Tribolium castaneum: one gene and its partners. The main gene of each other region encodes a partner of the protein of the gene in region 6 in a complex. Links are inferred from orthologs where the notes say so. Each region holds a gene or a part of one and is shown on either strand. Other genes may lie near its edges.

Region 1 (3,500 bases), on a different chromosome or scaffold from region 6:
TCAATAAAAAAAAATGTGGGGGAAGTACCGGGACTCTGAACGTGAAACACGCCGTCCGATTGGTCGTTTCAAAACTGGCGCACAGTTTAACCATGTCGACAAAACACTCCTCTTTCCCCGAAAACTTGGTTACTTTGTACACCGACTCGTCCACACTGTAGTAACAGTACAGGGGATCCCCATCTTTCATTCGGCGTCCGATGATTGGCAAGCCGTCCGTGTCTAAGAATTCGGCCAGTTCCGGTTTTTCCGGGTTTCGGCAAAAATACGAAGACTCGTGTTCAAGTGTTACAAATTCGGTTTTGTAAATGGAACCGTGGGCAAAACCACGCTCGTCCGCGGCTTTGTTTATTATCATTGCGTCTTCCATGTCATAGCCCTGGGAACAGATGGTTCAATTGGGGATTTTTCCGAAGTTAATGGGTTTACAGTGTAGCTGATAACGGCAACAATGGCGTTTGTGCCCATGGCGAAGTCGTCAAGGTTGATGTTGTCGTAGTGGACGGGTCGGAAAAGGGGAGTCGCCGGTGTTTGGAGGCGGTAGAGTTTGGTTTCGGATTGGGAACGCCAGTTGTGGCAAGGAGTGCCCATTGTTTGTTTGCCCATCTGGCACTGGTACATGTTACGGGGTGATTGGTTGCAGTCGGGCATGGGGATTAGTTGGGCTAGGTTTGAGAGGAAGGCCAGTTTGGAGAGCTCCATGTGGGTCGTAACACCTAAAAAAAACACGAAAAATTGCAAAACACTTCGGTTTTTAATAAATACGTTAAAACAAAAATTATTTTTTTTACTGGTGGCTGAATGACAGGATAGCACCAAAACAGCTGAGAATAGAGATAGGGTCTCCAGTTTTTAGCAGAAAATTTGATTCTTCACAACTTTACTCTTTACACTTTTTTTACCCAATGAAAATTAGAACTAAACAGTTTTTGATAAAAGTTTTTTTTTTTCGTTGAATACCACCGTCAATTTTCAACAAAATCAAACACAGGTAAGGATAGGAAGTGTCTCTCCTTGTGAATATTTTCACATTTGTAAATAATTTACTAAATTTTTAAGTTACGACATAATGTAAAAATTCAGTTAACGAGCAGTAAAGAAAAAAGTTTTTTTGAATAACCAAATGAAAAACAAATTGCAATCTTTTGTATGTAATCTATCTTATTCGAACTTACCCTATAATGTTTGATAGATAATATACTGATTTTTTTTATTATTCCTTCAATAAATAAAATTATAAAATTTTGATGCACCGCTCGGTTACCGATAAGGGACAACTGGTCAAGAGGTTCCTGTTTTTCTCACCATGGTGTGCAATTCGGATACGTCCATATTTTTTTTTATTGTCACTAAAATTTTTGTACTTTTGTCTCGAATTACTATTGAAAATGCCGATTCTGTATTTTTTTACCTTGTGCTTACCATTATTTGAATAGATCATTTTTTTTATTTCATTGCTCTTAAAATTCAGGCTAGTTAGGCACTGAAATAAACTAAAAAAGTCCCGAAAGCAGGTCCGAAAAATGTTTTAGTAAATTCTCTTTTTTCACCAGAAAATAACTTCCAACAGATCTTGTCGAAACAAACCGACTAGTTTTTGAAAATAAGATATAATAACGTAAACATAGAAAAAAGAATAAGAAACAGAAAAGTATAACAAAATAAAAAACAATGTTTTTAATATGCAAATATTTATTCTTTATTTGCTTCTTTGTTTCACCATATACTCAGTGGTTTCAGCCAATTCTGGAAATTTTAGCTCATTCATGAACCAAAAACTAAAAGAATTTAAAAAATCGACAAATTAAATTAAATTAAATTAAATAAAGCGATCAGTAATAAATTCGATTTTGATCAGTAAAAAATAATAAATGCACAGTAAAAATAATAAATGCACAGTAAATAAAATAAATCGTTCAAATAAAATACTGTGCATTTAATTTGTACCAACTATTTCAACCAATTTCAAATGATTTATCTAGCTCACAAATAAAAAAAATCGATGATAAATGAATTGTCTTTTCGATTATCTACCCTTTTTATCCCTATCTGAATTGTTTGTGAAAGAAAAAATAATCCGCAGACTGAAAAAGTTTGACTTTAATTCAAAATTCTTTAAATTATTGAGCATCTTTTACTGTTCTCTCCCTTGTAGCTGTTATATCTTTTTCTCTAATCCAAATTAAAAAAAATTACTGCAAAATGGTGTGATCAGTAATCACTAATCAGCCAGCAATAGAATAATTATTTGGTAATTTAAAAAAATAAAAATAAACACAAGAAGACAATTACATTGCCACATAAAAAATGCAAATAAGAGAAGCAAATTAATGTATAATAATGATTCGACAGCTACAACAAAACAGTTATTTGAAGCTTATAAACAAAAACTCTAAAGATAAAAACCTGTAAAATAAGCGTTTTAAGAACTAAATAAAAGTGTAACAACAATAGAAAAATAAATAAAAAAAATCAATTTTAATTTTGTTTTTGTAGGTGGCAGCAAAAAAAATAAATTTGTTGGCAACTACGATTTTTGTAATTAAAATATACGCAAAGTGCAAGTGACTAACTTCAAAAAATTCAAAATCAGAACATTAATAATAACAAAAATACAAAGTGTAAAATGCACATTGATGTATAATTAAAAATTATTTTAAAAGAGCTATGAAAAAATTCGCTAAATATTTAATAGCGTACTACATACTCGTTATTACGTATTATTTTTTTTTGTGTTTTCAGCAAAAGTATGCAAGTCAAAATTAAATTTAATGCATTCTTTAAAAGTAGAAGAAATGTGTTGTACTTAGATTTTTTACTGTTTTACAGAATACATAATTATGTAATGTGAAGAAATAAGAACAGATATAAAACCAAAAACCTTCAAAAGAAGATTTGTCCCTAACAATTGGACTTGATGAGATTTTTTTATTATTTTTGCCCTTGTAAGCAAAATACCTAACCAGTTAAGTAGTTTTTCCATTTCATTAAAAAATGGAGACCTCTTCAATTTAGTATTTATAATAGAAAACTCATTAAAAAACGGGAGAGCCAATTATGTCCAAAGTAAAAAAGTCCAAAGTATTTCTGTCCAAAGTAAAATGATTTTTATTATGATTAGCCCAAACCACAAGGACCTTTCAAGCTAATTAATTATTCAGGCAAGCTTATTGTGTGATTTATTGCAGACAGGTTGCAATCTTTCAACGAACCGATCGATATCGTAAATATTTTCGGGTCGCCCTTGTCAAAACATCTTATTGTGAGGCTCGCTGATCTTAAACACCATTATCTGTTGTTAAACTTCATGGTGTACAAAGAAAACGTTGCTACAATACTTCTGTCCACCGTAAAAAAGTCAAAAACGTAATTTCATCCAACATAAAAATATCCAAAGTATTTTTGTGTATAACGCAAAATGATCATTGTTCACCGTAAAAGTATCCAAGGTTTATAGAATTCTTTTCAATACCAAACATGGTAGCAAAATAACGAAGTAT
Region 2 (3,970 bases), about 10 Mb from region 6:
TCTGTTCGCGGGTTTCACCCAAAGTCATGACGTCTTGTTGCTCGCGAGCTTCGCGTTCTTTACGGAGACGTTCCTCTTCCACTTCGGCCTCCCGTTCTTGCTTTTTGCGAGCGCGCTCACGCAGAATGTGCGCTTTGAGCACCTTCCACATCTGCTCGGACCGATCCGGCTTGCTGTTGTCCACAGCGGCAGGCATTTTGCACAAATTACGAATTATTTCGTATTGTTATTTTACAGGAACTGTCAATGTCAACATGACGTTTGACACTTGTCGGCAGGATTGCCAACAATTTATTGGCCAGATTTTAACCAAAATTGGGCGAAAACTCAAATTTTTGACCCGCTTCCACATGTTTTTTTTAGTTTAAGCACTTGGGCCGAAACTCCCAACATTTTGATACGAATTTGTAGCGAAAAACGCCCGTTTCGCGTGAAAACAGAATTGGTTTAGATTGGCGATACTGTTTCATCCGCGAGGGAATTTTAAATGAAACACGATCAGTGGTAAAGTTTTTATTAAATCTAAATTAATTTCCTTTCGAATATCGCTTCCAGAACTTTTTAACATCATCATGTGCCGATTTATTGATGATTAGAGTCCGTTTTTCTTTGTTACACCAAATTAGATGGCCATTAGACTGTGCATACTCTTTCAGTATATTAAAATCAGCCTAAAACACAAATTAAAACCGCGTAACAATTTTTCTTGTAATACCTGTGATAGGAATTGGCTGTATAAAACGCCCTCTGAATACGTTAATCTGTTCCGCTCAATTTCCCACAGTTTGATTTGATCCACAACTGTCGGAGGTAGAGGATGTTTGGCCTCACCTTCCAACATTTGAGGATGTGCATGTTGTTTGAGGTACCCGATAATTTGATCGGCTGTGATTCCCCCTTTCAAAGCCTGTCTTATGGAATCACGTGTTATTACGCCCACTACAAGGTTCGGAAACCTGGGAAAAGTCCGATAGTCATAACATTTTTTTATTTATTTTGTGACCCACCTATACATCAGTTCTGTGAAAAGACCAATTAAAGCAACTTGAAGATTAGAATCCGTGTAAGCATAAACCCTGTAGTTTGTCTCTACAATTATGTAACCTTTTGGAGTGTCTTCCTCCAAAATTCGAGTTTCGGGGCCTTGGCTACACGTAATATTTAAGGCCAATCTGGTCGGGTAAAAACGGCCTGCTTTGCGCTACAAAATTAATTACATTAATCATGGGTGCTGTGGAATGTGACGTCCAGAAAAAAAAATTTGGTAACCATGGTAACGAAAACAAGACCTACTTTTCTTTGATACACTAATCCGAATTCTCTCAAGTGTTGGAGAAAAATTAAAAGGCCGGGACTCATGCCTTCAGTGCTATAATCCTACAAAAAAATGTTGCTATTAAAAAAAAACGCCAAGTGTTATGAGTTATGACATACTTTTCCAAGTGTACTAAATGAGAGTTGGAATAAAAACGTTAAACATTCAACCAGACTTAATCCTCTTTGCTCAACTGTGTCGAGATATTGGAGTAAAAAATGCCAAACTTGTGCTTGCCTATCTAAGAGTAAAAACTGGAAGCCTTGACGTGTTATAACAGGACTGCCATCTTCCTCGTCTCTACATAAATATAAATAAGATAACGAGTCAATTTTGGAGAAATTCAACCTTTTCATAAGCCCAGCGTGTAGTAAAATTCTGACAGCATCCGCAGAAATTCCCTCTTGTTGTTGCGACCCCACCATGTAATGTAACACACATTCCCACCGTTCGAGCGAATAAGCGTCCAAAAAAGACACATCTCTTGCCTTACTGTCAACTTCTAAAGCCGAAGACATGCTCCAAGGTTTGCCCCTTGGGATAAATCACGCAGTCATTGCAATAATCACACTAATTACACTCTCACCCCCCTAATAAGGCAATTTTCAAATTCTTTTTAAACGTAACTGAAAGGATCCAACCTAGGAGCCCCCCTGGAATCGCAGCCTCCTGCCATACCGACAATTCGCTCAAAACCTTACTCACATAAACGTGCTCTCTACAAATAACCCCCCTTTTCGTGTGTACAAGCGCATTTAAACACTCACTTGGAAAAGGCCTGAGCCCCCCATGACGCCACAACTGCCTGGGGCACCGGCTGTTCAACGAACAAAATTCGAATCACGTACTGGCGTGCCAGTTCTGGCAATTCTCTAAAATCGTCAATCGAAATTTGGAATTTTAAAGTGGGTTTTTACCGGTAAACGGCCAAACAAATCGTTGGATGGTTGTAGAGTTTTTCCAACGTTGCCGAAGAGCGCGTTTTTAAGTAGTCGTACAAGTTTTTACATTCTAAGTTTGTTGGTTTCAAAAAAAGCGAGCTGGGTTGCGCGGGCTCGGCGTCTGCCATTTAAACAGCCCCCTTGCAAACTTAAAATTAGGGTTAGGGTAACTACTGTCAACGCAATTGTCAGATTTAAAGCTAACCCAACTTTTCCTCCGAAGGAGTTGTTATTTAATTAACCACTCGCTTCGTCTTAATAAGTGTAGAAAAAACTTGGTTTTCGCTCTGCTTCGAAATGCCAAGTTTTTGGGCATAAAATATTTTGGCTATGTTTTTTTAATTATTCAAACGTTGGGGAATTTGGGTGGCAGGGTTGGTCAAAAATATTACGGTGACGATAGCACTTTGGAAAGAGCTAGCACCATGAAATTTCCAGCGGACCAGTCAAATCACGGATGTGCGTTTTCAGCACTTTGCGACGTTGCTACGTTTCTCACAAATTATAAGAAAATAAATTATTTACTCATTTTCTTTTAAAATTCAAGTGTATTGTTATTAAAAAAAATAAAGTAAATGCAATTTCAAACTTGTTGTATCTTTGAAAGCAATGGGGGATGTAGATAGTTTACTAGTTGACACAAAAAGGTGAAACCGCCTAATAAAGGCAAAACAAAAACGAGGAGGGCATGCTACCCAATTATTTAGGGGGCAGATTCCACCTAAATAAGATAATTATTCGTTAATTTCTTCTTCAAAAACATTATTTGAAAAAAAAAGTTAATAGAACGACATACTAATTCAAACAGAGGGTTAGATGTCTTCCCAAACTTTTAGAGGATTGAAATTTTCAAGAAAGGTAGGTATTTAATGGGCTTTCATGTGGAATGGGTTAAATGCGTCGACAAAAAGAAATAGTACTAGAAAAAAATATTTAATATTATTAATAAAATGTTGACATATTTCAAACTAAGGGTTGGATGTCTTCCCAAACTTTTAGAGGGTTGAAATTTTCAGGAAAGGTAGAGTATTTAATGGGCTTTCATGTGGAATGGGTTAAATGCGTCGACAAAAAGAAATAGTACTAAAAAAAATATTTAATATTATTAATAAAATGTTGACATATTTCAAACTAAGGGTTAGATGTCTTCTTAAACTTTTAGAGGGTTGAAATTTTCAGGAAAGGTAGAGTATTTAATGGGCTTTCATGTGGAATGGGTTAAATGCGTCGACAAAAAGAAATAGTACTAGAAAAAAATATTTAATATTATTAATAAAATGTTGACATATTTCAAACTAAGGGTTGGATGTCTTCCCAAACTTTTAGAGGGATGAAATTTTCAGGAAAGGTAGAGTATTTAATGGGCTTTCATGTGGAATGGGTTAAATGCGTCGACAAAAAGAAATAGTACTAGAAAAAAATATTTAATATTATTAATAAAATGTTGACATATTTCAAACTAAGGGTTGGATGTCTTCCCAAACTTTTAGAGGGATGAAATTTTAAGGAAAGGTAGAGTATTTAATGGGCTTTCATGTGGAATGGGTTAAATGCGTCGACAAAAAGAAATAGTACTAAAAAAATATTTAATATTATTAATAAAATGTTGACATATTTCAAACTAAGGGTTGGATGTCTTCCCAAACTTTTAGAGGGATGAAATTTTCAGGAAAGGTAGAGTATTTAATGGGCTTTCATGTGGAATGGGTTAAAT
Region 3 (3,264 bases), about 8.0 Mb from region 6:
TATCGTTAAATAATTCGTGAATTCTAGGCGCAATTTAAACAGAAAGCGAAAACTAAATTGAAGAAGAAAAATTTGAACAATTCAAACAGTTTGAATCTTAGTACTTTAAGATTTAGACATGCTGGAGTTTTGGGCTTGTGTGCTTTTATCAATAGCCATCCATACGACGTACCTGACTTTTTACCGGATGTTTTTGGACAATTAGGACCCCATTTGAACGACCCCCAACCCATTCCTGTGAGTCACACTTTCGTCGTTTAAAAAAATAATTAATAATTTTTAGGCAACAATTCGCAAAACCTTGGGAGATTTCAAGCGAACGCATCACGAAAACTGGGAAATCCACAAACTCAAATTTACTGAGGAAGAACTGTTAGTTTTAAGTGATCTCACAGTGCCTCCCAGTTATTACGCCTAGGCAATAATTTTCCGATTCCAGTCAATTTACAATTTAATTTTTTACTAGACAATAGGTGAAGGAAGGTTTAAGGTAGCAAAAATTTACGCGTCAAATGTTTTTTATTTTTAACCTTGTTCATTATATTTTTTGTGGTTTGATAAAAGTATATTAAGTGAAATGTTTATACATGACTTAATTCATCTAATAAAGCAAGACATTTGTCTTTTAATATTTTAACAGCTTCCATGAATATCACATCAGGTGGTAAAGCCCCCACAGATTCGACCGTAACTAAATTACAATTAATAAAAACTGAAAAAGTAAATAAAAAAAAACTTACAAATGAAATGATCCTGAATTTTGGTCATCGCTACTGCGTCCTTGAGGTCTTCATAACGGAAAACATTCCGACTTCCTGTATCATACCTCGCATTAGCTACAACAGCGTATTTGCGGCCTTTTTCATGTCGGATTGAAATCACACCGGGAGAGAAACATTTTTGGAGTCTCTCAGCTGCTTCACCTTCCACTTCTCGTAATAATTTTATGTCGGGAAGAAGGCGATAAAATGCGGTTGCGACAGGAGAAAATTTCGCATGGTCTCGCCCGTTGCTCTTGACTGCTAATAATTTTAAATCTAACTCATGGCCTGGCCTCATTTTGGCAATGAGAATGTCAGGGTGGATGGGGCCCACGTCACTAAACCGCTCCTTCTGTTTACCAATGGGCACCCATTTGATGTGTTTTGAATACACTAAAATTATTGCAATTTTTATTGTTTCTCAAACGGGGTAATTACCATTATTGTTTTTGTACATATCTTCAGCTCGCAGTGAGTCTTTACTGCTGTCTTTATTATTGGTACATTTAATTTTTAACGCAAACTCTAGAGTATCCTGTTCGGTACCTTCAGCAGTTGCTGTAAAAATATTGTAACGTTTGGAACGGCAACATTACAAGACTTACGATCAGTTTTCATTTCAAATAATCGGGGGTCGGCCTTTAGCGGTATCAGGCCTAAACGATGGGCCAAAACTTCGTCTTGGATTATAGACGTGTTATTAAGAATGTGAACCTTTTCAATGGCCATTGTGGGGACATCACTCAACATTAACCTTCTGAAAGTGTTTGCTAGGAACGGGTGAATCCCTATCAAGTCAAATTCGAGTTCATTCTCTTCACTTCGCACAATCACCACCCTAAATCTCTTCTTAAAGGTTTTCAAGTCCCATTTCTCGTCCAAAACAGTTGGTTCCGAGGGCAAATTCTTCAAAGGATGTTTGAAGGAATTTAATACAAAATAATAAAGGACATACCTGCGTCACTTTATATTCTCCTAAAATCACTCGAGGCTTTTCGTCATTCAGAATATTATCCATTTTAAACTTGTTTCAAAAACTTGGATAACCTCAAACAACGCACGTTTTTCGTAAAAATGACTACCAACCTTACCGTCCTTACCACCCAAAAGCCACTTAAAATGTCAGCTTTTTAGGTTATGTTTTGTGAAAAATATAAACAATTTTTGAAAAATATGACGAAACCCGAATGCTCCAAACAGGAAGCTTCAAACACGAAAAGCAAGGCTGAAAAAGACTCACAAATAAGCACACCTGAAACGGCTAAGGCTCTGTTTGCCGATTTTGTGCCAGAAGAGTCAGACAGCGAAGAAGAAAATGAGAAACAAGACGACAAAAAAGACGAAAATCTTGAACCAGCGTCAAAGAAATCACGAGACAGTAACTCGAAGGTAAGTCACCAGTACACCAAATGAAAAACCAACCACCTTCCCGCAGAAATACATACCAAAGTACAAAAAAGAATGGGAGAATAAACCCGAATTGAAAGCATGGTTATCAGAGAGCATACATGGAAATACGTATTTCTACTGCAAATTCTGTAAAAAGGATTACAGATGCGGGATTTCCGACATTCACAAACACATGTCGTCAAAGAAACATGCCCTCAAAGCGGCAATGCCTGCATTCAAGGCACAGAAATTTAAATTTCGGGGGCTTTTGTGCCCCGTCTTTACCCCATTTACTAACTTAAAAAGAGTGACACCTGATGTAAACCTTAAGGCTATACCAAAATACGCAAATTTTTTAAAAGCTTGCAATATTAAAGGAATTTTAAGTATTTCGCAACTCTAGAAAATGAATTAAATTAAATGGTCAATTTTAGTTAATGACATAACCGGGGAAGGAATGTCCTTAACCATTCATGAAAGAATAGATTTGGCGGACGCGTGGGCTGACGCTTGTGAAAAAACAAATCAGTTTTTGATGGCACAAATCGGGGGAGCCCCCCTCAAAGACGTTATAGAAATGGTAGTTTAAACATTTGTTAAAACTGTTAATATTTTTCATTTGTAGGCAAAACACGCCGCTAAGAGGGACATCGGCGCTGTTGTAATCCTCCCCGACCTTTACAACAAACCAAAAAACCACCTAGACCTAATCAAGTACATAAAATTAATATCAGAATTTACAAAAAACGTCCCCATTCTCTATCACCACAATCCCAAGTTTACGCAAGTTGAAAGTAAGCGTTTCGAACGATGAACAAGACACGAAAAAATTCATTTTTAGTTGATATTACGTCGTTTCTGCTGGATATAACGGGAGAAGTGGATTCGTTTGTAGGCGTCATTTATAGCACGAATGATATACAACAGAGCACCGCTGCTATGGCGGTAAATAGGGAAAAGTTTACCGTTTTTATGGGCACCGACGAAGTAGGGGCTTTATGGCCATATCTCCCACTTAATTTCCACTTTTAGGCAATTTTGGGGGCTGCTGCGAGCGGTTTTACGTGTATTATGGGCACAAGTCTGAACTTTTTACCAAAACTGGTTGAATCCA
Region 4 (4,087 bases), on a different chromosome or scaffold from region 6:
CACAACAGTATTATTTTAAGTAATAATCTTAAGTTATTTGTTCATTCACATATCATTAGACGTAAGGACGGTTGTGTACCAAGTGATCATTTGAATTCATTACAATTAGAGTACCTACTGAAACTGATATTGAAAGAATGGTTAAGACTTGAGTCTACCAACTATTCGGAGGAAACTCTCCTACTCTAATTACAAATGACGACATATAATACTCGCTCATTAGTATTAAGTAGCGTCCTTGTTGTTGTTAAAGAGTTTTTTTACTCATTTATAAAATGTAGACGTAATAAATTATGATATTAATTTGAAACTACCATTCAATTATTTTTCCTTTATAAATTCGTTCTTCAGAGTCTTTTTGACAATATTGGTTACACACAGCGCGTGCTGTTAACATTTAAACAGCACTTTTTTAAACAGGAAAGTACTAACCATCAAGGTTTTTTACATTGTTCCATAACTGCTGGAAAAGAGAAATCAGAGGTGATTATTTCTGTTGTTTTTTTCCCTTTCCCAAAGATCATCTGAGGCAAGTGCCCTCGATCCGGCTCTGCCCCTATATCATGTAAAGAATCTTATTCAAAAAAAAATTAATACCTGCTTAAGTATGCTGAGTTAAAAATAATCGAATTCTTTTAGTTTTCGAGAGTAAGTTTGTTCTTACAAAGTGGATTTGTTTTAATTGTGAATCCTGTGAAGATTTCACTAAAATGTTTGGCTGAAATTATTTGCTTAAGAGATGAACTTCTGTGGTTGTCGGGTTGGACCTTAAAAATGTGCCTCCTTGTGTTTTTCAGATCAAAAAAAACGTTAAATGACAAAAATCAATACATTAGACAAACCTCCTTGTTCCCATCTTGTAACAATAAGTTACCTCACAGATTATATTTTTTGTTGGTGTCGTACTTGTTGCCGTGTCGTTTAATTTTACTCACTTTATGACTTACTGTTTTGTGAAAGAATTTTTGCGGATTAAAAGTTCCAAATTCGTTGACTAGTGCGTGCTGATCGCGGTTAGTGTGTGCTATTGAAAGGGATTTTTAAGGGGAAAAGAGAAAACAACCCGGATTAAAGGGTTAGTTTTCAATAATTTATTTTTAGAAAAGTTTCTACATTAAAATCTATAATATTTTCAACGAATTTACTGGTACAATGTTCCAATTTCACTGTTTTTTATTTCAGTAGGTTCGTGAAATGCTTTTGAATAGGTGATATTAACATCTTGTACTGATTTTACTTTTAATTTATTTTAATAAATTAGCCCGGCTCAAAATTTAAATAGTAGCCTTGCCAACCAAGCAACTTCGAAAAGCCACAACAAATAACCCTAGACGCAGACGTCAAACCACACGTTTTTCTCCTAACCTGTAAAAGATGTGATTTAAATAACATTGTGAAATACTGTTTTTATTGATTGACTGTGACTGAACCGTTGCTTTAATTTATGTAAGTGCCATATTTATCATTTTTTCAGAAAAAACAAACAAATTTCAGATCATTATGTCTTTATTCTCGGCCCCCACGAAGTCAACGACCCCTTCCTCGATCCTGAAGAAAACCCCAAGTCTCAAATCGACATTAAACCGCTCCTTGAAAGTGAACACACCCACTAAAGTCCGATTTATTTTACCACACTCTAAAAAAGTGCGCCACATATTGAAGGACTACATCAAACACGGAAATGCAAAGGATTATGAAAATTTAGTGTGCCTAATTCGCGATGCCGAACTGTTTGATGACGATATTTCCTCACTGTTGAAGGAAGCGACTGAGTGTATTTCAATAATGAAGCAGGAGTTACGTCTTTTTGTAGAAGCACTCCTTTCAGTTGACTGGATCGAAAGAAACGAAAATGTAGTTAAGGAGTATCAGTCATTTATTGCGAACTTAGTCGCTGCACATAACTATCACGCAGATTTTGTGATAAATAAATTAGTCACATTGTTTTTTCCCCGTAAGTTTGGTAAAGTAACTAATCACCAGTTAATTACCAGTGAATTATTTAGCTCTAACAGACCCTGAATGGGAAAATGGAACCCCCAGTAAAACGGATATTCTGAAGTGCCAACACGTCCACTCCCTCCTCTGTGAACTTCTAAGAACAGTCCCTTTGTAAGTAATTTTTCAAGTCTCAGGTACTTTCCGGATGTAATTATCTAGAGTAATAAGCAATTTTCTCTATAAAATAGTTTATAAATTAAATCTGTGCTAATGGGCATTTCAGGTGCAACGAATTGCTAATCCACGCCCTGATCGACCACTTCCCTTACATGAACAAATCGACCCACATCCACGAATACTACATCCAGAACCTCCTCTGGGTCATCTGCTACCAGCCCACTCTCAGACCCAACATCCTCCACTTAATTTTCTCAAAACTGATCATCATGGACGTGAGTGCGCCCCGCGAGGAAATCGCGAAACTTGAAGAGGAGGAAATTTTCATGATGGACGAGAGCAAAACAAACACTACGATAAATCTGGACTGCGTCCATTCAATGGCACACACTTTGGACGTTTGCCTGGATAAAGTGTTCAATTACATTTACTCCGAGTGCCATGAGCCGGGCACTAATGACTTGAATTGGGGCAAAACCAAGTCTTTATACCAGGATATTTTGACGGTCTTTGATCAGTCGATCCTGCCAACTTACAATACTCATCACGTCCAGTTTGTTATGTTTGTGCTGTGTTCCTTTAAAACGACGTTAACGGAGGCGTTTTTTAATTACTTGTGGAAGAAGGTGTGCAATCCGAACGTCGCGTCGGTGATTAGACAAGCGGCGGTTAATTATATTGTCAGTTTTATAGCGAGAGCCACTTTCGTCCCCCTTACGTAAGATTTTTTCAATTTTTTATGCCCCAGTTTAATGGAAAATTGCAGCATGTTGAAGGGGACTTTGCAACAAATGGCCGAATGGATCCACTCGTATATCGCCACTCAGGACGGCCTAGAGTGCGTCAATTCGGACCTAAGGCTCCACTCTGTCTTCTACACAGTGTGTCAAGCCCTCTTTTATGTGATTTCGTTCCGGCACAAGGATTTAGTCAACACAAAAAAAAGTAATGATTTTTTTACTCGAACATTGTCACAACTTTGATTACAGATGTCGTATTTTTGGAGAGTCTGAACTTGGCGAAAATCGTAACCAGTCGGTTAAACCCGTTGCGGGTTTGCCAACCTGCAGTCGTGCAAAATTTCGCTGCTATTACCCGAAAGTACCAACTAGCCTATTGTTACTCAATCATTGAACACAATTCGAGGAACACTTTACCGACTGTTTATAGAGACGAGAAAGGTTTTGTGACAGTTTCAAGTAACGTCCTAGAGGCGTGTTACCCGTTTGATCCTTTTGTTTTATCAAGGTTCGTTGCACCGTTTTTTGGGGGATTCCCCTGACTGTTTTAATTGCAGGTCGAGTGCGAAAGTGCACCCGTTTTATCGGGACTACAAGGAGGTGAGTTTTGAGGTAAACGATTCAGAAATGAGGGAAATTGGGGACGTTGACGATTTCCTCGAGAATGACTTTAACTCAAAAACGCAGAAATTCTCATACGGGACTTCGCCAGGGTTTAAATTTAAGGGCTAATGTGATACTGATTTATGCAAGATGTTATTTATTAATTTGATAGGAAAATAAAGTTTCTCAAAATATGACCTATATTTTAATACCGTTATAAACATGAATATATTATAAATATAACAAAAAATCATAAATAGTTTTTCCACAAAGGAGGCACATTTATACAAATTTCTCTATTAAAAAGTAAACTCGTTATTTAGACTGACTTTCGAGTTCCTGTTCGACAAGTCGTCTGTACTCATCAAAACCTTCTATACTTCGCACAGAGCCATTACCACAAACCCACAACTCCTTGCACACTTTGCGAATAAGCCGCTCGTCGTGCGACACAAGTATCACACCGCCCTAGAAAAAATTAAGCACAAGGGAGGTAAAAAAATAAAAAAGTGTATGGTGGTAATGTGATCACCCAAAAGTGGTAAAAGCGTTAACTTACGGTGAATTTGACTATCGCATTCCCTAAAGCTTCAATTGTTTCGATATCTAAATGATTGGTGGGTTCG
Region 5 (3,447 bases), on a different chromosome or scaffold from region 6:
TGCCTTCAAGAAAGTGAAAAAAAAATTTTTTTAATGTGTTCTATCATAGTTTTTCGTACTTATATGTGCCTTTACAACCCTCTAGGGTTGTTAAAAGTTCAAAAAAAATCCTTATGTTCGATTTTTTAATATTTGATTTTTTCAATTTTCGTCGCAGTTTTTGTCGGTTTTGGGTACCCGGAACATTTCTCGAGCAATAGCTCCGGAACTATTAGAGATAACCCCATGAAGTGTATTATCGTTGGAAAGCTCTTTTAATTGTCTATCTTTTTCAAAAAAGATCTTTGCTCTCCGACTAATAGTTTTCGAGAAAATTGCAGATAAATGCAAAAATTGGTAAAATTTTAAAAAATTCGTAACCAAAAAACTAGTGGGAATTTGGCAATTTTCTCGACGCCAATCGATTCCCTGGATCATTTTGCATAGGTAAAGATCAAAACAGTTCCCCTTTTTCGAATAGTTTAGTCGTAATTGAGAATATAATAAAAATTAAAAATAAATTAAGACCTCCCTCCCCTCCAAAATGGCCATTTTTAAAAGTGTCTCAGAATCAAATAACACTTATCCTTTCTTATAGATTTTGATGTGCTCTTTACGATGGAAAAAAGAGTTTTTTCCTAGCTCTTTTAGTTTGGCCGTAATCGGCGATTGAAAATTATAAAACTTTTTGCGAGATATCGCTTTGAGTCCTATGCCATTTTGTAGAGTTTTTATTGCGCTTTTCTACAATTCTTCCGTTTTTAGATAACTCTAATAATTTCGCCGTAATCGGCAGTTGAAAATGGAAAAAAAGCGAAGATGGAAACTTTATTTGCGTTTTTCTCGGAAACTCTAAGACTTAGAGAATCAAACTAAAAAAACGGATGGCGCTTAAAATTATCTATTTTTTCGTCCAAACCCGGAGCTGCTCCGGGCAACGGTTCCGGTTACAGAGGCAATTAAAGTTTTACACTAAAAAAAATCATAACCCAAAAAGTAAAAGTCGTTGGGCAATGCGGTTTGTTTCATTTTCTTTGTTATACCAGCTTTTTTTACGAGATTAAAAATTTTGATTTTTTTTGCTAAATTCTGCTATATCGTAAATTAACTTAATTTTTGTATTTCGCGGTAAAATAATTCGGGCAGCCATTTTGTGCTTTAGTCAACCCACAATACACCACTTTTTTACTATTTTCTTATTGCTTAAATCTCTTTTTTGTACCCATAAAAACCCCACGACTCACTAATCACCATACGACTTTTTTGTCGTGGTAGTAATTTTTTGTGATAAGAATTGATAAAAACTCTTCATTCCGGCGCTTGCGCACTATCCCCGATCGCGTCCTGCCGTTACCCCAAAATTTTCCTCATCTCTCGCCTTCATTTTCCATCAAAATGTCGGCCATCTGATTTCCCTAACCTCAAAAGTGCATATGTGCGCGTAAAAATGCCATTATCGCCCGTTTCCACTCTCGGAAACCGTTCATAATCAGCTTAACGTAGTGTGGTGCGCCCCCAAGGCCATGTCGAACTCCCTGTGCAAGACTTCGGTGCTCCGCATCTACCAGGAGGTGATCGACGACGTGATCAGCGGCGTCCGCGAGATCTTCCTGGAGGACGGCGTCGACGAGCAGGTCCTCCAGGAGCTGAAGCAGACCTGGGAGACCAAGCTCAAGGCCAGCAAGGCGGTGCAGAGCGAGGAGGAGAAGGCGAAGAAGGCGGAGATGACCGCCACCAACGGCTTCCCCAAGCAGCATGTGGCGCAGCCGGCGGCAGCCCCCGTGGGGCAGATCGCCGAGACGAAGATGGTCCCCATCCAGATCACGCTCCCGGCGCAGCCCGGCAGCGACCAGGGCCCCAGGATACTCACGATACAGGTCCCCGCCACGGCGCTCCAGGGGAACCAGCTCCAGAAGGTGCTCACGGGGCAGATCATCACGGGGATGATGAATTTGCCCGCCAATATTGCGTCTTCGGTGCTCCAGCAGCACGTCAACGCGGTGTTTAACAGGTAGTCAGTTAGCCCCCTTTTAACTTAAATCGTCCACGCAAAATGTTTTCGGGTCACCCTGTACAAAGAAAAATACATGTTTTGTGCACACTTATGCAGATATTTTTGTCAATAATTGTTTTAAAAATTTTCTAATTATTGTTTAAAATTTTATCGGATTTTTAATAATGTTCTCTTCGGAATAAATAAAAAAGCTTGTAATAATTGTAGTTTTTTGTTATGAGATAACGTGTTTTTAACAGCCAGCAGCAGCAGATCGTGACCATTGTCAACCGAAACATCGCCCAGACGGACGGAAGCCACGCCGAGGAGGAGGAGGAGGAACAAATCGAAATCGAGTTTATTTTGCCTAGGAAGAAGGTGCCCCAGGTGGACGGCCCCGTGGACACGTCCGACGACGATGAGGACGGGTCTGACGACGATAACGACGACGAGGATATCGATGACGATAAGGACGAAGAGGATCAAGAAATGGAGGAAGAAGGTGGTGAAGAAGAGCCCCTGAACTCCGAAGACGATGTGACTGATGACGACCCAACTGATTTGTTCGATACTGATAACATCGTTGTTTGTCAGTACGATAAAATCATAAGAAATAGGAATAAGTGGAAATTTTATTTGAAAGATGGGATAATGAACTTGAGTGGACAAGATTATGTCTTCCAAAAGGCTAACGGTGATGCGGAATGGTAATTAGTGTTTTTTAAGAAGTTTTGTTTTTTTTTTATTATTTTCAAGTCACTTGCACGCAAAACCCGTCACTTATTCAAGGGAACGTTGGGTTCCGACTTAAGTTATTGAACTTTTGTATGTAAAATGGGAGAATAGCCTGAGTTGTAGAATTGTGTTATCCATTATAAATGTAACTAATAATAGGCGTTTAGATTTAATCGAAATTTTTACTATGTATTATCAATTATCGATAGCCGTTTGTGAATAAAACTATTTTTGAAGTTACACCATTGGTCGTTTTTCTAACACCTGGAAGATGACAAAAATCGCAAATTAGCAGCTCTTTTGAAAAAAAATCATAACTCAAAAACTAAAAATCGTAGAGCAATGCCTATAATGGAAAATTATATTCAACAAAAAAATTCATAATTCGAAAACTAAAAGTCGTAGAGCAGTGCGGTTCGTTCCATTGGATTCAGCGCCTTTTTTTCTCTATTATACTAATTTTTCACGCAATTTAAAATTTTCAATTTTTTTGCTCAAATTTCCTGAGTTATACACTTACTTACCTTCAAAGAGGTGAAAAAAAATTTTTTTTAAACTAACTCCAGCAAATTTTTATGGACTTCTACATGTCTTAACAACTCACAAAAGTTGTTAAAAGTCCACAAAAAGTCCAAATGTTCGATTTTTTGATGTTTGATTTTTTCAATTTTCGTCGCAGTTTTTGTCGGTTTTGGGTACCCGGAACATTTCTCGAGCAATAGCTCCGGAACTATTAGAGA
Region 6 (4,115 bases):
TAATGATAGGTAAGAGAATATAAAACTGTTAGTAAACCAGCAACTTCAGTAAAAGGATAAATAAATGTTAGTAACAAAAGGAAAAGCAAAGTAAAAATTCAAACTTTTAATAGAAAATAAATACAAAAAAATGATAATTATCTAGAGGAAACTACACTAAACTACAATTTGCTTACATCTACTTCCCCGAGGAATGCAACGAGCAGTTGTTGTGGTACACCACGGAAAACAGGCTGTTAGAGCATCGAAATGTTCGTATGTGTCACTAATAACTGCAAATAACCACCACCTTTAGCCAGATTGTCATGCTAGTATTAAGAACAACTACAAGTAATTTGATTACCATGCAAGCATGTGTCGTTATCAATTTATTTACAATGTTGAGAAAACATGATTAGTAATAATAAGGACCAATCATTATCTAAATATTTTTCTGGTAATCAAAAACCAACAAAGTTACAAACATGCCCATCTACTGGTTTATAGAAAAATCGACTTACTAGCATTTGAAACTTCTTTAACATATTGCATGGCAATCCTTTTTAAATAATCAGCGTGCTCCTCCGCCACAAAAAACCCCATAAAATTTGGAGAAGTATACGTTTCTAGTTTTAGGGGCTCGTTCAACATAGCGCCCTGCCTTTCCATTACGGACTTTAGGCTTTGCGCCAGATGTAGGGCGTCTTCATCAGGCGCCTGTTACACATCATTAAACGAATTCAAAATTTATCAAATGAAATACCTTAAAAAACGAAACTAGCGTAATGTGCGGCGTGAAATTGTGGGCCCCGTTCCAGGCGCATTCCCTGTGCGACTTCTCCCAGAAGGTCTGTAACTGTTCCAGGAAAGGTCCCGTGGGACACGCATATAAAATGTACTCCCTTGGAGAGTTATCGTCCAGCAATGGGTCATTTACGTGGGCCAGTAACCAGTCGGAGGCCAACTGCACGCCCCTGTTACCAGTGGCAGCTAAGGCCTTTTCGCTGTGTGTAATTTCAAGTTACCCGAAAGTTTATTATCATTTTGTTTACTCACGCTCTGTGTTTGGGGAACCCCATCTGGAGGAGGATTTGTAGCGGGGTCAGGTGCTGTTTGGATATTTTTGTAGGTGTGGGGTTCCTCCTAGGGGGTAGTGTTGCCATTTTCATTTAATAAATTATTAATTTCAACTAGGTTAAAGTTTGGTGTTGACACTTCTAGTGGACCTTTGACATTTAAACAGTGACGTTTTTGTTTTGGTTTTGTTTGGGGAATTGGCCTTTCAGATGGCGGCACTGGTTGGAACACTGTCAAGTGTTGATGTCTGTCAAAATTTGCCCATTTTCATAAGAAAGTATTAAAGTGTGTTAATTTTTTATTATTTACACGTTATTCGACGATGGCAGGTGTCCTGTTTGAAGATATATTCAACGTGAAAGATATTGATCCTGAGGGAAAGAAATTTGATCGAGGTAAGTGGCTTTTATCGTCTGTTTGTTTGGATGTGTGACCGGCGTTTTTGAGGTTATGTTTTAACGTTTCGTAAAATTGCTCGAAATTGTGTTAAATTTTGAATGTATTTAAAGTTTACATCTTGTCTCATTTACCTCTGAATTTGGAAAGCGTGTGTATGTGGTTATTAATACGATAATACCGTCCTACTCTAAATATTGGTTATACCCCCCCACCTGTGTCCTAGTTGTGGCATCGATTGGTCTTTTTTAATGCATTAAGAATAAAACCAATAAAAACAGGCAGATAGAATAGATTTTTTTTGGTTAGAATTAATTACTTGAAGGACTTATATTAATAGAATTATGCAAAATTAGTCTTACAAAATTTTACTTTTATACTAATAATTTTTTAACGTATTAATTTTTGTTTAATACTTGTGTGGTTTGTAGGTGGTGTGTATGGGTGACATGGGCCGGCCCCCATTTTTGTTAAAACTGTTCGCTGTTTGAATCATTTGTGAAGACTGATGAATTACATGAATTAATTGTAATACAAAAAGCAATAAAATACATATTAAGAAACACGTAGGGGTTTAGAGCATTCTAGCTGGGATAATAAATGGATATATTAATTACACTAGTTTACAATTTTTTTTCTTTTACTAAGAAATCATTTCTACTAGGTAATTTTGTTTTCTACTTACTCACTGATAACAAAAATATACAGGCTATTTGGCAACACAGTATTAAAAAAACATTTAGGGTGTATCAAAATTGGCGAATTCCGAGTTCTGAGCACTGTAGAGAATTGCTTTAGTAGTCCAAACATCGAAAAGAGTTATTAATAATACGGGAGCAAAAACAAAAACTTAAAGTTCGAGAACTTTAAAAGCGTTTTCGCATGAGTGTTATTAAATTTTTTTTTTTGGAATATTTGAACTTAAATGAAAACACGTTGCTATGGGAAAAGCGTTTTAAAATAGTGTTTAAAATCTAGGATTCAGATATTAAAAAGAAGGCTTCAAATGTTACCAACAAAAAAATATTCGGGGCTGCCTCACAAAGATACATTGGTTTGAAGATTACTCTTTGAACTGCGTTTTTTTTAATTCAGCCTATATGTTTCAGTGTTTATTCTTATTTGTGGTGACGATGATTGTGAAGAATAATAACTGTGAACGATTTCTCAAAAAACTAGCTTTATTATTTTATATTTATATTTATTTTTTTATATTATTTTGGAGTTTTTAAAATCTTAATTTTTTTAATTTGCCGTTTTGTTTTTAAGAAAAATTACAAAAATTTAAATTTTTTACTCTAAAATGAAGCTGATTTTTTGAAATATTGTTTTACATTATTATCTTCCACAATCATCTACATCATAAGTAATAAAAATGAAAATAATGAAAAATTTTTAGCCTTCATTTGAAGAAAACGCAATTCAAAGTGAGCTGACGTGCACCTTCAAACCACTGTATCCTTGTGGGGAAGTTCCGAATCTTTATTTTGTTTTTACATTTAGTCTAGTGAAGTGATTCTTTACAACGCTCTGACCTCGGAATTTGTCAATTTTGAAACATCCTGTATGTTACATTTTTCTATCACATCTAGTTTTTTTTTAATGTTCACTAAAAGTTTTGAAAATTGGTTTCTGGTGTCTAATTTAGCATCCGTTGTTTCTGTGATGAACTAATTGTTAAACATTTTATTTGCTTTAAAATATCATTAAGTGAATGTATTAGACTTACCGATACGCATTGGTTTCATCTATTGGCAAAAAACGTTGTAAACTAGTGTTATTAGGAACTGAAATGAATAAAGAGAAGAAATACAAAGTAAAAAATTAAACCGACGTTTAGAAATATTACACTTCGAATTTTCCAAGTTAATACATTTTATTAAGTACTCCTACACATTTCAAAATGATAAAAATGCGATTTATTTTTGTTTCTATCATATTGAAATTAAATTGTTAAAAAGAAAAAGAAAATCAGTTGTTCCAGTAAAAATTAGTTAAAAATATTACAGGTAATAACACTGTAACAAAAAGTGAAAATTTTTGTTTTTATTCTGTATTATTACTATTATTAGTGTTTATTGAAAGCATAGGTCTTTTTGAATAAATTTTTGGTCACAATTTATTTTTAGTGTCGGTCTGCGAAAAAAAAGTGGGGGTTGACAATTTTTGATTTTACTCAAATTTAATAAGATGTTGTGATGTTATCCATGAAAAAGATTAATAATTAGCCACAAAACAACTTGTAACTTGATTAAATGTAACGAAAAGAACACAAATTAGTTATTAATAACAGAAAATTTGGTGGCACAACGCCAGTGGTCCTAAATTATGTTTAAAAAATCTAGTCATACATGCCTGCTTACTGGATGGTTCTAACAGGTGAAAAATGGGGTCTTCACTGTTCAATGTTATAACGAAATATGTCCAATTTTTGTCATTTTGAGAAAAATATAGAAACGTATGCTATAAAGTCCCTCTCTTTCAAATGCAATAATTGTTTTTGCAATAGAGTGGTTTATTTAGATGTTATTAAACAATTTTGTTATAACACCGAAAATTTGTGAACATTTGTTCAGCAGAATAATGAGATAAGTCAGTCAATCGTTTTCTCTCTATAAGTCTACAAATTACTATTAAATGTAAAGTAATATAAAAAACTATAA
Region 7 (2,471 bases), on a different chromosome or scaffold from region 6:
TAAACAGGGTGTTGCATTTGAAAAAATCGAGTTATTGCAATATGTAGTTTGTCATATTCAGAAAATCGTAGTAGGCGCTAAAATATCGACATCGAGTTTGCTTTTATTGCAAAAGATGCGCTAAAGCTTAAGAAGTTGGCTAAGAAAAAAAATTGTTACATTATCTTAAATGGTTCTGAAGTTATACATTTTTTGAGGGTCTTTGCACGACACACTTTTCACACATAAATTGACATAAGTCAAAAACTATGACAGATAAGTCTATAAAACCCGGGTGCATTATATCGACAATTTAGTCACGTTTTCAAAAATATAATAAAAATTGGGGTTTCCAATTAAAAAAACAAAACCTAGTGGAGTATTTTATTACAACATTACAACATAAAAATATTGTAAGACCTATCGTTTAAAAAAACTTTAAATTGATAGTTTGCATAGAAAAAAAGTTATGGAGCATGCACGAACTCTTGGGTCACTCTGTATATGCACTACCTCGTGAGACACCCTGTATATTTTAGGTGCAAAATGCTTGGTTCAATACTTTAAATTGAAATTAGCTGTTATAAATTATTCACGCACTTCAAAAAAATAATAGCTAATCTAATTTATACTTTCAATGATAGTTCCAATCATAAATAACAATTTTACAATTTTATCAATACTATTTAAAAACAATATTCGGCAAAATGCGGCGTTGGTGTTTTTTAAGTTTTGAATGGTAAAAGCTCAGATCAAAGTAGTTAGCGTTGTTATGTTTACGCAATTGTTTATTCATTGTTTATTTGACAATTTATTACCAAACAATTACCACTTGTTACCAAACGTATATAGTTATTTTTTTTATATAAACAACTGTCAGTGTCAAAATTCTGATAAGGACAAGACTGTATCAGTACTTAATCTTAGAACATTTTATCGCGTTTTATATTGGGTTTAAATATTAAACAATTCCTACCTTGAAACGGGACAAATCCGCTTGTGTAAAATCATTCGGCAGATTAATGTAAAAGTATGGAGAAAAACCATGAATATGACAACACACACTATTGCCCACTTTTGTAATACCAAACATTCGAATCACAGGAACAGTACCAGTTTGAGCCCCTGGCATTCCAGGATAAGGGGCTGAAATGTAATGATCCAACTCTAATTCTTGAAAAATTAGTGCATCATCAGTGGGGTTTAAATCGCCAACTGGGGGGCGAAAAATTTTGTCGTTCCTTCAATTAACCAAATAGAAAACAATCATTTTTTGTCAAGAAATCTTACTTGAACCTCTTCCCTGATGAATTCGGAGGCGGAAGATTGCGTTTTGTTGCCATTTTGCTGTAAACAAACGGACTCCAAACAAGATATTTCAGTTTCTTCCCGCTTAAAATAATTATAGGTTATGTTGTCTTGAAATGCGTGAAGTGTGACCAATATGTAAATTGGAAAATTCCCAACAGTTGACACATGTGTTTTTTAGGTTAATTTTTCGAATTAAATCACTCAAAAAATTAAAAATGAGTACTGGCCCTAATTTTGAAAGTATCGAAGGGTTTTGTCCCGACTGTGGTTCCATTTTGCCACCTTTAAAACAAACAGGAGGTGTGAAATGTTATGCCTGTGAACGCAATTTTCCATCAGATGGTAAGTTAAATTTGTCTCAATGATAATTCTAAAGAATTGATAATACTTTTTTTGTAGTTTTTCGAGGAACTAAAGCTTCATATGTGATACACTTCAATTCGCGAGACTACAAAACTCATTCAATGAACAAGCAGAACAATAAAAAGGATGAAGAAGAAGATGATGGTCCTGTTGTTGATAGAAAATGTGCCAAATGTGGTCATGATAAAATGACTTATGCGACAGTTCAATTGAGATCAGCAGATGAGGGCCAAACTGTGTTTTATACTTGCACAAAATGTAAATTCAAAGAGAGTGAAAATTCGTAATTGGTCAATAAATACGCATTTTTGTTAATAACTAATTTATTCAATTTAAAAGCATTAATAATTAAAAAAAATGAACAAATAATCTATAGTCCTATGGAGGACTATAGATTAGGAAGCGAGACGGGGTGTAAAATAGTACGGTAGAATTAAAATTGGGCGCTTCGAGTGTTATTTGGCGCCTAATAATCGTTTTACATTAATTTTATTTCAACCAATTAATGGAAAAAATACATCCGTACCGTAATAGGTTGAAAAAAAGTGACGCCCAAAATTTTTACGAGAAACGTGAAAAACAATATTTGAAATCTGCCGCATTGTCTCATATTTTTCAAAACGCTGCAAATACAGTTGAAGATACAAAAAAATGACTAGTGACTGTTTTAGGCTCTACACCAACTTACAACATGAGTGAAAGTGAGACTTAATTGTTTGTGTTATGTTTTTACTTAATAAAAAAAGTCTACCTTTTATATTATTGCTTTGGATGTTACAAAGTTCTGTTTACTTGAATCACCCTGTATTTTTACGTTA

Evidence for each region.
Region 1: Polr2H (region 6) and Polr1B share a complex: the UniProt entries of both Homo sapiens proteins name them as parts of the pol I pre-initiation complex. The link is inferred for Tribolium castaneum from reciprocal best matches to the Homo sapiens genes POLR2H and POLR1B.
Region 2: Polr2H (region 6) and mrn share a complex: the UniProt entries of both Homo sapiens proteins name them as parts of the TBP-based Pol II pre-initiation complex. The link is inferred for Tribolium castaneum from reciprocal best matches to the Homo sapiens genes POLR2H and GTF2H4.
Region 3: Polr2H (region 6) and Polr1C share a complex: the UniProt entries of both Homo sapiens proteins name them as parts of the pol I pre-initiation complex. The link is inferred for Tribolium castaneum from reciprocal best matches to the Homo sapiens genes POLR2H and POLR1C.
Region 4: Polr2H (region 6) and Tif-IA share a complex: the UniProt entries of both Homo sapiens proteins name them as parts of the pol I pre-initiation complex. The link is inferred for Tribolium castaneum from reciprocal best matches to the Homo sapiens genes POLR2H and RRN3.
Region 5: Polr2H (region 6) and TfIIA-L share a complex: the UniProt entries of both Homo sapiens proteins name them as parts of the TBP-based Pol II pre-initiation complex. The link is inferred for Tribolium castaneum from reciprocal best matches to the Homo sapiens genes POLR2H and GTF2A1.
Region 7: Polr2H (region 6) and Polr1H share a complex: the UniProt entries of both Homo sapiens proteins name them as parts of the pol I pre-initiation complex. The link is inferred for Tribolium castaneum from reciprocal best matches to the Homo sapiens genes POLR2H and POLR1H.

What each region holds. Positions count from the first base shown.
Region 1 is NC_087399.1:7,561,557-7,565,056, forward strand, and holds part of Polr1B (DNA-directed RNA polymerase I subunit RPA2), read right to left. Parts: intron 717-3,500; coding exon 430-716; intron 380-429; coding exon 29-379; intron 1-28. UniProt on the Homo sapiens protein: Catalytic core component of RNA polymerase I (Pol I), a DNA-dependent RNA polymerase which synthesizes ribosomal RNA precursors using the four ribonucleoside triphosphates as substrates.
Region 2 is NC_087396.1:20,771,892-20,775,861, forward strand, and holds mrn (general transcription factor IIH subunit 4), read right to left. Parts: upstream 2,585-3,970; 5' UTR 2,462-2,584; intron 2,436-2,461; exon of another isoform or gene 2,405-2,435; 5' UTR 2,385-2,404; coding exon 2,233-2,384; intron 2,188-2,232; coding exon 2,083-2,187; intron 2,034-2,082; coding exon 1,902-2,033; intron 1,850-1,901; coding exon 1,664-1,849; intron 1,616-1,663; coding exon 1,435-1,615; intron 1,378-1,434; coding exon 1,294-1,377; intron 1,202-1,293; coding exon 1,008-1,201; intron 957-1,007; coding exon 716-956; intron 672-715; coding exon 528-671; 3' UTR 501-527; downstream 1-500. Other genes in the region: G protein pathway suppressor 2, read right to left, coding at 1-196. UniProt on the Homo sapiens protein: Component of the general transcription and DNA repair factor IIH (TFIIH) core complex, which is involved in general and transcription-coupled nucleotide excision repair (NER) of damaged DNA and, when complexed to CAK, in RNA transcription by RNA polymerase II.
Region 3 is NC_087396.1:18,341,018-18,344,281, reverse strand, and holds Polr1C (DNA-directed RNA polymerases I and III subunit RPAC1), read right to left. Parts: upstream 1,892-3,264; 5' UTR 1,780-1,891; coding exon 1,717-1,779; intron 1,668-1,716; coding exon 1,367-1,667; intron 1,320-1,366; coding exon 1,200-1,319; intron 1,155-1,199; coding exon 741-1,154; intron 692-740; coding exon 582-691; 3' UTR 501-581; downstream 1-500. Other genes in the region: proteasome activator complex subunit 4, read left to right, coding at 28-237, 284-418; N-acetylneuraminate lyase A, read left to right, coding at 1,899-2,150, 2,197-2,536, 2,585-2,730, 2,776-2,944, 2,992-3,137, 3,183-3,264. UniProt on the Homo sapiens protein: DNA-dependent RNA polymerase catalyzes the transcription of DNA into RNA using the four ribonucleoside triphosphates as substrates.
Region 4 is NC_087395.1:22,076,404-22,080,490, forward strand, and holds Tif-IA (RNA polymerase I-specific transcription initiation factor RRN3), read left to right. Parts: upstream 1-1,287; 5' UTR 1,288-1,446; intron 1,447-1,494; 5' UTR 1,495-1,500; coding exon 1,501-1,954; intron 1,955-2,006; coding exon 2,007-2,112; intron 2,113-2,224; coding exon 2,225-2,836; intron 2,837-2,884; coding exon 2,885-3,063; intron 3,064-3,107; coding exon 3,108-3,366; intron 3,367-3,415; coding exon 3,416-3,590; 3' UTR 3,591-3,658; downstream 3,659-4,087. Other genes in the region: ATP-binding cassette sub-family F member 3, read right to left, coding at 3,777-3,929, 4,021-4,087. UniProt on the Homo sapiens protein: Required for efficient transcription initiation by RNA polymerase I (Pol I). Required for the formation of the competent pre-initiation complex (PIC).
Region 5 is NC_087395.1:25,201,029-25,204,475, reverse strand, and holds TfIIA-L (transcription initiation factor IIA subunit 1), read left to right. Parts: upstream 1-1,293; 5' UTR 1,294-1,502; coding exon 1,503-1,990; intron 1,991-2,232; coding exon 2,233-2,683; 3' UTR 2,684-2,947; downstream 2,948-3,447. UniProt on the Homo sapiens protein: TFIIA is a component of the transcription machinery of RNA polymerase II and plays an important role in transcriptional activation. TFIIA in a complex with TBP mediates transcriptional activity.
Region 6 is NC_087396.1:10,332,757-10,336,871, reverse strand, and holds the start of Polr2H (DNA-directed RNA polymerases I, II, and III subunit RPABC3), read left to right. Parts: upstream 1-1,315; 5' UTR 1,316-1,378; coding exon 1,379-1,451; intron 1,452-4,115. Other genes in the region: Epp (ecdysteroid-phosphate phosphatase), read right to left, coding at 177-272, 501-696, 743-983, 1,036-1,148. UniProt on the Homo sapiens protein: DNA-dependent RNA polymerase catalyzes the transcription of DNA into RNA using the four ribonucleoside triphosphates as substrates.
Region 7 is NC_087397.1:21,420,328-21,422,798, forward strand, and holds Polr1H (DNA-directed RNA polymerase I subunit RPA12), read left to right. Parts: upstream 1-1,416; 5' UTR 1,417-1,505; coding exon 1,506-1,632; intron 1,633-1,689; coding exon 1,690-1,940; 3' UTR 1,941-1,971; downstream 1,972-2,471. Other genes in the region: PolD1 (DNA polymerase delta catalytic subunit), read right to left, coding at 956-1,220, 1,270-1,322. UniProt on the Homo sapiens protein: Core component of RNA polymerase I (Pol I), a DNA-dependent RNA polymerase which synthesizes ribosomal RNA precursors using the four ribonucleoside triphosphates as substrates. Can mediate Pol I proofreading of the nascent RNA transcript.